2 linked regions of the Arabidopsis thaliana genome follow. The protein of the gene in region 2 purifies or fractionates together with the protein of the main gene of each other region. This does not show direct contact. Each region holds a gene or a part of one and is shown on either strand. Other genes may lie near its edges.

What was found.
Region 1: the proteins of AT1G52370 (region 2) and AT5G55140 fractionate together in Arabidopsis thaliana (co-fractionation; one large-scale study listed by BioGRID). This does not show direct contact.

The regions. Positions count from the first base shown.
Region 1 is NC_003076.8:22,377,964-22,382,694, reverse strand, and holds AT5G55140 (ribosomal protein L30 family protein), read right to left. Parts: upstream 1,700-4,731; 5' UTR 1,583-1,699; intron 1,363-1,582; 5' UTR 1,326-1,362; coding exon 1,134-1,325; intron 1,046-1,133; coding exon 908-1,045; 3' UTR 501-907; downstream 1-500. Other genes in the region: AT5G55150 (F-box SKIP23-like protein (DUF295)), read left to right, coding at 1-420; AT5G55135 (uncharacterized protein), read right to left, coding at 2,309-2,566, 2,656-2,736; AT5G55132 (Defensin-like (DEFL) family protein), read right to left, coding at 3,226-3,401, 3,543-3,609.
Region 2 is NC_003070.9:19,503,292-19,510,761, reverse strand, and holds AT1G52370 (Ribosomal protein L22p/L17e family protein), read right to left. Parts: upstream 4,407-7,470; 5' UTR 4,191-4,406; exon of another isoform or gene 3,745-4,190; 5' UTR 3,711-3,744; coding exon 3,587-3,710; intron 3,381-3,586; coding exon 3,313-3,380; intron 3,039-3,312; coding exon 2,886-3,038; intron 2,780-2,885; coding exon 2,669-2,779; intron 2,542-2,668; coding exon 2,475-2,541; intron 2,350-2,474; coding exon 2,063-2,349; 3' UTR 1,828-2,062; downstream 1-1,827. Other genes in the region: AT1G52380 (NUP50 (Nucleoporin 50 kDa) protein), read right to left, coding at 1-783; AT1G52360 (Coatomer, beta' subunit), read right to left, coding at 5,365-5,568, 5,671-5,800, 5,965-6,071, 6,157-6,250, 6,335-6,531, 6,747-6,818, 6,905-7,019, 7,260-7,376 and 1 more.

The DNA of each region.
Region 1 (4,731 bases), on a different chromosome or scaffold from region 2:
AGCACCTCGCCGTTTCGGTACGACTCTTGCAAGAAATACTTGGCAGAGTCGGATTACGACGAACTGTGGGTGGTCCTAAAGAAGCTGGAGCTTAACGACGATTGTGATTTCGAAACCTCTTTCGAGATTTACGAATTCAATCGCGAGACTAACGAATGGACAAAGGTGATGAGCTTGAGAGGAAAAGCTTTGTTCTTGAGCCCTCAAGGTAGATGTATAGCTGTTTTAGCAGGTGAGAGAGGATTTTTCAAAGACAACTCAGTTTATTTCATTGATGGTGATGATCCAAGTGTAGGAGGATCAGGGCCTCAGAATCTGAGCGTTTTTGAATGGGAGAGTAAGCAAATCATGAAAATTTACCAGCCAAGATCTTGGAATTGTCAGATGTTTTGGGTCACACCAACAGACGTTCCTCAGTGATGAATGACTGATGCATTGTAGAATTTGTAGTTTGCATAGTATAGGTTTTGTATTTCAAATTTCAATTCTTTGATACATTACAATTGTCATCATACATTTTGGTTCTTCATCTGTAACATATATATTAAGTTATGATTATTTCAGCATCTATCTTTCTCTCACTACTTTCATTAATCAAATTGAAAGGTAACTTTTTTGAGAATCAACTTTCACATTCTCAATCTTGAAACATTGGCCACAAAAAAAAAAAAAAACCGATAGATTTGAGATTGACAGAATGAGAGCAAAACATACACAAGTATCCAGTGTATACAAAAAACATAAAGAGGCACCAAACACACTGATACCAACATTTCTTATCAAGCGTCTAGGACTAGTTTACTTCCTGGACACCTTTAGAGAGAACTTAAACATAAGCCGCCTACAATATCCAAGCGGATCTTATCGAACTGACGGTAGAAGAGCTTACCATCTTATGAAAGTACTCTCAAGACATGTTGGATGAATCTGTTGCAGGACTCGAATGACTGACAACGAGAGGCGGGCGCAAAGCTTTGTGGTTGGCTTCTGCTTCTTTACGAGCATTGTACATTTCTTCTGTTTCAACAACAACCATCCTTTTAACCTACATAGAGGCAAAACCAACCATCACAATTTTGAAATCTAGGATTTTATGACAAATGAGAATAGATAAAAAGATAAAGGAAGAGAACCTGATCAATCATTCCCCTAATGGATGAATTGTTTGAATGCAAAACAGTACGATGACATCTACGAAGTCCCATAGCTTCAAGTGTTCGTCTGTGAAGCTTCCTTGTTCCAGGGAGACCTCTTACTAAGGTTATGTACAAGCTCTGGCTCCATTCAATAGGCACTTGTGCTTTGAAAGCTCTAAAACCACTCATTCTTTTTTTTTTTTGTCTCCTTTATCACTCAATCTCTCTGTAACCATTAACAAAATCATAATCAAGCAATCACACAGAATTCACCGTAGAAATCAATAGATACAATAAACGAAGACGATTGATAACATGAATCATGAGAGAGTGAATCATCACGAATTGAAACCAAATCAGATCGATCAATTCAGAAGAAAAGAGGAGCTGCATAACGCGAGATTTCAATTAGGTGTTTGAGATAGAAATGGATGGTTTTCGAGTACCTTGAGGAAACAGAGACGGGAGAAGTCCGGTGAAAGAGATCGTCGACGAGTGTAGTCAAGACGGCGAACAGAGCTCGGAAAATCTTTGAGATTCGCGTTTAAGGGTTTTAAGCTTTTAGCGGAACAATGGTTAAACGACAGCGTTTTGTAGATTAGCTTAATTATTTGGGCTTTATCTGGGCCCAATTATTGGCTCCTTTACCTTTTTATAATTTGTTCAAAAATTACTAGATTGGTTTCATTTTTTTTACATCAATCTTTAGATTTATTAATCTTGCAAAAACAATTTATTTCAGAAAGTGTATGATGAACAGTCAAATTCCACTGCTCTCATCACTAGTTCTAACCTCTAAATTGGTAAAAGCTATTTGCTAGGTAGGTGTATTATTTAAGGTTTTTCTACCTTCTATAAGTTCAATAGCTTTAAATCTTGGGGTTGATCAATATTATTACTAATGAGTAATGATGCATTATTAAAAAGAGAAAATTATCAAAGTAAATTATATTTATACAAAAGTAGTAGCTAAATTACATAACTAAAAGAAATCGGTAAACTTACAAATATTGGTAGACAAGAAAAAGAGAGAAAAAGGGCAACCGTTCTTCTATCCATTACTCGATTTATTATACAAAGTACATGAAGCCTATAATATTACATACATGATACATGATGCATATTATTACATACTACTACTTTACAAGTGATATCTAACAAATGCACATACGTTATATTCCTTTAGCCGTGTTGATAGGCAAACCATCATCATCATCCTCAGGTCTCTTCTTATAATTATAGTCTTTCTTATCTAAAAACGCCTCTTTCACCTTCTCCACATCCGCCTCAGAATCACCGGAGACGTTTACCGCCACCGCAGCTCCGTCAAAAGCCTTCTCAACTGTTTGGCTAGCAACACCTTGTCTTGTGAACTCCTCCGCCGTCGAAGAAGCTCTTCCTTCTTCCCTCCCTCCACTCGCACTTCCTCTCTACATATTAAGAAAACATCTCCAAAAATCTTTGTATATATATATAGTTAATCTATTTCATGAAAACGTAGGAATATCAGAATATATACCTTGAGATAAAAAGAGTAAATACATGATGTTGTTATATTAGGCTTGGAGATTGATTTTGGGTTCACATAATTTCTCAACATTTTTTCTTCGGAGGTCTCTTATTTTTGCAGCTTAGATTAGATCAAGTACCATAGATGAATTTTCCTATAGCAGTTAATTGAGACTTTTGATGTCTCATCAACGGAGGTTATGATTATGATGCCACGTGTGTGTGATGCGCCGTCGTAGCCAAAAGATGACATGTTTCCCAGGGTTAGTCACGACGTCATGCAATTTCCTTTGTAGTTAAATCCAATATACGAAGATTTCTATTTCATATTCTACAGTTTCATACATAACTTTACATGATCGATTTGACAAAATCGATGTCCTAATGACATTAACTATAAGTCGAACCGCTGTCGTTTTTCTTGTGGATTTTATTGTGTACATGTATTGAATTCTTATAAACATTTTGATGAGAGAGATTGGGGGTTGGATCAGGATGAGATTATATCAATTATCATTATATAAATATATGTTTTTAATAATATCTTATGATCGAGAGTACATATAGAATAAGAGATCAATCAATTGATGACCGGACTGGAGATGGGAGAATTAGAATAATTGTTGCAGCAACAAAATATTTTAACAGCCCCGTGAATTTTAGCGCTTTCACAATACCCTCCGCCTCTCATCATGCATCTTGTATTGCATCCTATTGTGCTTTTACATCCTTCCGTACATTTATCTGAAATTAGTCCTATACGATTTTATAAATAAAAAATTCATCAACAAAAAATTTATAAGCAAAAATGGTCAGTTTAATATTGAAAACTGTAGTTTTTTAAGAACAATTTTTTTAAAAAAAATATATAATTTGTATAACAAATAAATGTGTTACCAGAAATCATAGGTATGGTGAGGAGAGCAAACACCATCAACGTAAGTAATCGATGAGATGCAACCATTTTGGTTGTTATTTGTTATTCTTTCAAGATGATTCTATACCTGCTTCTCAAAACCTATTAAAAGCGAATTTCAAAGTTATTGTTATAACAAAAACAAAAATCTAGTAACATATTCTAAATATTTTATATTATTTTTGACTTACCTTTTGTATTTGTAATATTTCAGTACTTATTGAGAATGATTTGTGGTGGTCTTGGATGTACATTTATATAGACATACGTATATACATATATATATATATATGTAAATAATAAATCTTCCATATTATTCAAGGATTTTTTCTTCTTTTTTATAGTCTTATTTGGGTCAGATAATAATTTTAGTCAAAATGTTTCATTATTTATTCTTATCTGTCATTGGGATTATATTTCATTCAAATTTAGTTTATTTTAATAGGTAAATAAATAAATTCGTAAGTTCATGAATTCTCTTAAAAACCCAACCGGTCTACCAATCTGGTTCGCGGTTAAATCCGGTTAATGACAATAAAAATAGTCAACGTACGTTTTGTCCCGTTGACTGACATCGTCTTCTTTGCTGCTTTAACCTCTAGGGTTCTACTATTGGCTCTTTAAACATTGTCGTGATGGAGTCGGACGTCGGAGATTCGTCGGAAATTGTTCGGTAATTGGAAGAGTTAAAAGCTCAAGAAGACAGAAATAGAGCACTTTATTTCGACCCTCGAAGCTAAGCTCCAGGATACGGTGGCAGTTGAACGGTACGACGACGTATACTTTGATTATGATCCATGTTGATCTCGTCATGATGATCATTTTGTCGAGATAGCCGGTAAAGTCTATAGTTCAGTGTTGTTGCCTATCCAAATTTTTGGTTATGATCCGATCAACAAACAGTCAATCAGTTTCAAGGTATCGTCGAGTATCAACTTACACATGCAAGATTTGTATCTACTTGCACAAATCATCTTGTTAGTATCAACTTCTCACAATACATAGAGATTGACAATAAGATATCCAGATTGTGTTGTATCCAGATTACACAAGATATCCTTTCTTCATCTTTTACTACAATCTCGAGAAAAATATTATCACAAAAGTAAGAGTTTAAGCACCAATATTATTTTAAGTGACAAATCCAAACTATGTAGAACATGTTAAACT
Region 2 (7,470 bases):
GCCAAAGAGAGACCCAGTACCAGTTGAACCATCCTGAGAAACCAAACCAAATGAGAACGAAGACCCTGAAGCCTCTGTACTGGCAAGTCCGGTGAATGCGTTTTTGTTACTTGAATGCTGTTGGAATGAGCTGAAAGCACCATTATCGCCATTCTTATCTGCTTCCTCAATTCCGTTGCCTTCTTTTTCTTTTTTCTCAGCCTGATCACCTCCTGAATCCTTCTCAAGAGGAAAATCAGTTTGGTCTGTTCCTTCAACAGCGTTGTTGCAAACGTTTGTGTCACATGAGACCATCTGAGCTACTTCTGTAGCCGCAACTTGGACATCAGCACTCTTTCCACAATGATTATCATCCTTATCTTTAGTCTTTTCAGTCTCTTCCCCAACAGCATCTTTGACATCAACCTTCTTACTGTCAACTTCATCGCCCTCCTCAATATCACTTGCTTTTTGATTGTCCTCAACTACTGCTTCAGCTGGAGCCAATTTTGACTCAGCCAGAGGTGCATTTGTTCCCACAGGGGTTGAAGCAGGTGCAGTCGTAGGGACCAACTGAATTCCAGCAAATGGATTGGATGCTGCAACTGGAGCAGCAGATGGCTCTTTGCGCTTAACTCTGACAATTCTTCTACTAGCCAAAACCTCATCACTGGCCTTCTTGAAAGTTCCACTCTCAAGTTCAGCTGAATCATCATCATCATCAAGACCTGGATTATCACGAGACAGCTGCTTCAAGGCACCTCTCTTTTTTGAAGGTTGCTGAACGTTTTCCGAGTCACCCATTTGAATTGTTATGAGAGAATGTCAACACACTTGTCAAATACCTAATAAAAAAACACAGACAAACAAAGAAAGTCCAATGAAACAATACCCTTCAAAGATAATAACAGATAAAAATCCAATTTTTGAAAACAGAGATAAAACATTACAATGCAAAACACCGTTCCAAAGGTAAAACACACACACCGGATCAGTTTGCAGCCACAGATGATGATGAGTAATGCCAAATCTAAGAAGACAAAAGCTTTAACATGACAATGCAATGGAAAGTGAAAACTACAGAGGCTGCTCGTTACCTTATGCAAATATCCAGAAAGCCTTAAAATGTATTCAAAGAAGACAGCTAATTATATGTTAACACTCCAAGGTAAGGAACAGAAGAAGTAGGGCTAAACTTAGATATAAGAAATGCAAATACAGTGACTTATAAATCTAAAACCAATGAAAAATTCAACATCAGTGACTTTGTTATTATCCTCAAATCTATAAACCTAGATGAAAAGAGATTTTAAATCGGAGGAAACAAAAACCCAAATTCGATTTTAGGAACCTATCAAATTTAAGAGAAACTCCTGTTAGCTGCAACAATCGAGTAAACCCCAAAGCATCTTCAGAAATTATTCGATGAGTGAAGAAAAAATCTGAAACTCGATCTCAACACGAGTTAAATACCAAAAACCCTAATCATCAAAGCAACTATCAAGAACCAAAATAAAAGAAATGACCGGAAACTATTTCCAGAACAAACAAGAGCATGACAAAACCCTAGAATCAAAGTAGCTAACCCTGAGACAAACCATTTCCGATAAACCCGATAATGAAGAAACCTAAGATTCGAAGAAAGTGACCGGTGACGAGAAAATGGCAAGGACTTACCGTAGCAGGAGCCGGAGCCGCAGCAGTAGCAGAGAGGGAAAAAACTAACGCCGGAGCCAAAGTGGTCAGAGACGAAGAGAGAAAGCAAAAGAGGTTTATAGAGGAAAAAACATCCAGCTCTGTATCTCTCTCTCTTTCTCAACTTTTTTATTTTTATCGACATTTGTGTGTGACTTCAATTATTTTATTTTATTATGCACAAAAGGTCACATTGAAAAATATGTTATTCGTGTTAATTATGTTTACAAGATTACAGTTTTCTTCGATTCATATAAATTGAAAAATGACTTTTCTTTTGGTTCCTGTCTCTGGCAACATATCTATTGAATGGAATAGTAACCAATTACCGATACAAACAAGTACCATAAAAGAGAAGCTCTCGTTACAGTTGCCGGAACAATGATACTTAGTGAGACGGTACCAACTCAGATGACCTGTGATTGCCTTTGGTACCTCTGCGGTTCCAGATTGGACTTGTCTCGATCAACTTGTGTGGTACCAGCTGTCTCTGCCGCTTGTTTAGCTTCTTAAAATTGTGAACTTTCAGCCTTGCAATCTCAGCTTCTTCCTCTGCAGTCGTCTCTCTGACTATGACTGTTAGACGACACCTGGGTATTGATATTATCCCGCTTCTTCCTTTTGCATGGTAAGCTACCTTCTTCCCAAAGAGTCCCTTCCCAACAAACGCTTCCGCTGCATCACACATATCAAAAGAACTTAGATGAATTATACATCCTTCTCTGACATATATCATGTTTCCTTCTTTAGTGTTGCAAAACAAGTCAGTCACAGATCCGGTAGATCAGTAGTATACATACCAACAAGGAGACGGTCAGGATCTAGTCCATGGTTATGAGTAGCATTTGCCCGCGCAGCATGTATAACCTACATTATGAGACCAAGTTGTATGCTAAGTATCATTAGATGAGGAAATGTATCAAATGCCTCGAGAGGAGAGTAGACCAGACACTCTAAAAGTGATTTGTTTCTGAACTCGAATCTCAGAGATTACCCGGTACACAGTTTGTGAAGCTCGTTTGACCGTGACCTGCAATTGCATCAAAGCATCTTCAACACGCATGCCACGGACTAGTGCTGCAACCAAGTTGACCTTCTTAGGACTCTGCAATAAGTAAGGTTTGGGCACATTATATAGCGCATATAACAAATCAAGATGTATACATATCATCTAAAATGTAAAACTGTACTAGGAGTTAGAGAGAACACACCTGCTTTATGGACTTGAGGACAGCCTGAACTTTCTGACGCTTTGGGATAATCTTCTGCTCTTCTTCTTTTCCACTACCCAGCAGAGCTGGAGATGACAAAGGTGATGATACAGGCTCCTCACCCGCCTGCAATTGTCTTGAGGTAGAAATTCCCTGAAAACATACAGATTTAGATCAGAGAAGAATGAAGCAGCATACCCATAGATAACATAGTTCTCCACAGATGAATGGTTTCAGGAGATGTGTCTTTTCGCATAATTCAGATAGATAACAGATGTAGTCATTCCACTAGCACATTTAATCACTTCCCCTATCCCACTAACAACAATTTTGCTATATTAAATTACTAAAGCAAATTTATCAAAGAGGAAACGAGAAACTCCAGTCTCAATAGAAAACAAAAGAAACATCGATTCAGAAGCATTACCAGTTGTTGTAGATGATAATACAGTGGTCTTGAGGAATAGGTTGATCTCAAGAGACTCTGCAAATAACCTAGTTCAACAGCAAAAATTGAAAAAAAAAAAAAATCATCACCCACTCAACTCAAACACACAAACACTATATTAAAACAAAAATCCAAGATAACACCTGACATTTTGAAATTTCACTAAGAACACAATAGATTCAGAAATGATTTAACATTATCTAAACCGAAATGATCAAAACTAAACAGCTTCAAATGGTATAATATTCACCACCTTGTGAGAAAGGGGATTCCAAATTCCGTGTGGAAGAGTAATTTGCCGTGGAAATGTGACTGTCCTTAACTCTTTTACCAACTTGACGAATAACAATCTGTAAATTCTTCTGCCAACCCGCCATTATATTCTACCCTAAACCTTAGTCTATGCTTCTTCTGCAGAAGATGGTAAAAAAACAATCTTGAACAAAATAAGTAGAGCTAAACTTAGATGTAAGACATGCATTAGAGACTTTACTAATAAGTAATGAAAAAATCAACATGAGTGGATCTACTATTCTAAATCTATGTATAAGATTCAGACAAAGGAGTTGCACGAAAGGGACCAATGCACTAGTGGAGTTGATTCAAATTCAAATTGATTCTAGCTTTCAACAATATAAGAACCGAGTAATCAAAGCAACGCACCCATTATTCGAAGAGATTTAAAATTCGATCACAACCCAAATGGGTCAAATACGAGTTAAATTCTAAAAACCCTAACCATCAAAACAAACTGTCAAGAATAAAATAAAGAAATGGCCGATAACTATTTCCACAACAAACAACACGACGAGAAGAAAAAAAAAAAAAAAATCAAAGTAACTGGGGATGAAGATAACCTAAGCTTAGACGAAAATGCCCGGCGAGGAGAAAATGGGAAAGACTTACCGCGAAGGAGCAGTAGCAGAGAAGCGGAAAAAAAAACTAACGCCCTGAGCCAGAGACGAAGAAGAGGTTTAATAGAAGAAGAGCGTCGACATACGTCTCTCAACATTTTATTTAACGAGTTCAGAATAATTTTGTCACATTTTAGTGAAAAAATACTCAACAATTACATATACTTTTAATTTTGTTTTATAAATTTATAATTAGTTACGAGATTATAGATTTCCTTAATTCACATTGTATACTTGAGACTTTTTATTAGACATAATCCTCGACCGAATTCAACAAATCATATTTAACTCAAAACATTCCTATGTTCAAAAATTTCAAGTGTTAGTAGAACATGAGAATAAATATATTTTTAGAGATCAAGTCTTCAAAAGAATTATATATGCAACGATGAAAAGTGAAAAAATCATGTTACAGGCCAGACAAAAGAAAAGGAAAAAAAAAAAACAATCTGATGAAATCTAAGTAGATATTTGTAGGAAAAAAAAAAAAAAAAAAACCATATGATAATAATAATAAACCTCCCTGTGAGTGCAAAAGACAAAAAGGAACGACCACACTTGCTTAAAAACTCATCAGCCTCTCTTTCATCTAAATCTTCCAGTCTCTCCAGCAAAGAACTGAGTCCTACTCGATTTTCATTTTCTTAAGAAATTCAAACTTTTATTACAAAATGGTTTCAAAATGTGGTTCCAGGCTGCTCGGATTTGACCTTTCAATCCTCAGTAAAAGAATGAAAGTTCTCTCACCTCTCTCCATTGTTGCTGGAACTTTCACCATTCCCATAAACTGTAAACTCTACTGACGCGGTGTAAGCACTGCAAAAAACAAAGAAAATCCACATAAGATAAAACAGCATCAGCAACCAATAAAACCCCGAGACACTGTTAGTTTATATAAGAAGATGAAGCATGTATACTCGGTTTTTAAAGCCTAACTCATGTCGCGAAAAAACAAAATTGGTGTTATGTTCCTAAGGGTTGCTATGAAATGCAATGACTTGAAACCAGACACACATCAACGGAAAAAGATGTTAGAAGGCGGCTTTTCGGGGAATCAAATTAATCACCAGAGACAAAATTTTCAGACTTTTCAACATTGGCCTTGACCGACTTGCTATTAGGCTGATGGGTTTCCTTCATTATTCGTACCCCACTCTTCGTCAGCCTCACTTCCATTAACAAGTACAGCTCCATCCGTAGAGTCTCCATCAACAATTCCCTCTTCTTCTTCTGCTTCTTTCTCTTCATGATGCTCCTCTACATGCTCCGCTACATCATCCTCATTCCTTTGTTCATTTCCATTTTCTTCTGCTACTACCTCCTGAGAAAAGAAAAAATAAATCAGTTGTTGCTTACTAAAACACGCAAGATAACTAACAATAGATGTAAATAACTCAGTCAATTGGAAAAGAAAATGGGTCACCTCGTGATCCATATCTCCATTTTCAAGTGATTCCTCTTCCTCAACTTGCAAGTTTCGGAAGGCTTCCACGAGGGTCATGGAAGATTTATCAGCATGGCTAGGATAATCTTTTGCACCTGTGTAAACTCCCCTGTAAATGGAGAACAGACAATTTTAAAGAGAGGTCTGAGAATGTCGCTATCTATAATCCGGAGTTATCACTACGTGGATGCAGTAGGTATTAACGATTCGCTGCTTGATTCAAAAACCATGGAAGAGAAAAGCACACTTGAGCAAAAAAAATGCAGCGATTACCTTGTCTCTACAGCTTTAGCTTCCACAGAAAGAGCAACTTGCCAATCTTCAAAAAGATTTGAGTACTCCTCAGGATCAGCCAAAGATTCTGCTGCTTTTGAATTAACCTGTATTCAAGTGCAAGGTAACTTAAACCCACAACTTGTCTCCTTGACCACATTACACTAAAACCTAAAAAGATTTGAAAGGAACCTTGCTGAGATCTTTCCTCCAAAGAGCTACTATCTCAGAAACTTTGCTCGGAAGATATGATCGTGCCATCAGAGCAGCTTCTGGTATCCGGTTACTGAGGAAAAAATATTGTCACACAGTTAACCAAAGGTGCATAAATTTGATTTTCCAAACTCTCAAGTGACTACTAATGAATTACCTCTCCACCAATAACTGCAAACAATCTTCCAGTTTACCCAGCATGAATAGGCAAAGAAAGGCGACATTGTTCTTCCCTTGTTCTTTAGCAAGTGTTGCAAGTTTTGTTACACCTTCAGCATCTCCCAGAGAAGAATAAAGAAGTAACAAACCACTCAAATCCATCGCATACTTCATGCATTCCTCAGCCATTTGCAGCTGTCATGATGACATAAAAACGGAAAGAGTTAGTTGGAAATCCCCACATCAAAGACAAATCCAGGAGACGAGAAACAGAGATTTTGCTGTTGCTCCCACATTTCTAAATAAATGTCAGAATCATAATGTAAATCATAAACCATTTAGTGGAAAGGTTATTTTGTGTCTCTTATCATTACAAAACATTAGGACGAAATACAAAGACAAATATATACCTTTCCGGAGGACATAGCTAACTCTCCTAATTGTTTCCACTTAGATTCGCTCTGTACTTCCACAGCGATTTCCTACAGGCATAAATTAAAAAACATGTTTAAATATTGCCACTATACAAGAAGTTAAAAAGTATCTTAGTCATCACACATTATATCACCTGTGCAATTTCAAGTCTACCCAGTTGTATGGCCAACTCAAATCTGTAGTCAGGATCTGTTGCAATTTCCAGAGCATCTTCAATCATTCCCCGTGACTCCAAGAAATGAGCAACACTAACAAGTCGAAAATTGTCCGAAAATAAATAAAGAGAGTTGTCCACGAAACACCCATTGATAGGTGTGCAACTATGTTAAACAATAGAGTCAGTAGATCTAGACACAGCATATTTGTAAGAGAAAATAATCATAATATTCCTTCCTAAAGAAATGAAAAACCTAAGACATATCACATAACAAGAGAAGTGCGATAAAGAATGAATCACAAGCACACACAGAAGTTAAGATCTAGCATACCTGTTATGCTGATCTTTAGGAATTGTAGGTAAGATTTCACTGGCTTTGTCTAAATCACCCCGCATCACAAGAGTCTTGTACTCAATCAGGCTTAGCAACAAGGTGTACCCTATAACACTGCATCCACAAAACAGGGGAACAGCATCAGAAACTTCTAGAACAATCTCAATTATATAAACACACAAATCTAAGCACTTACTTGAATTCTTTG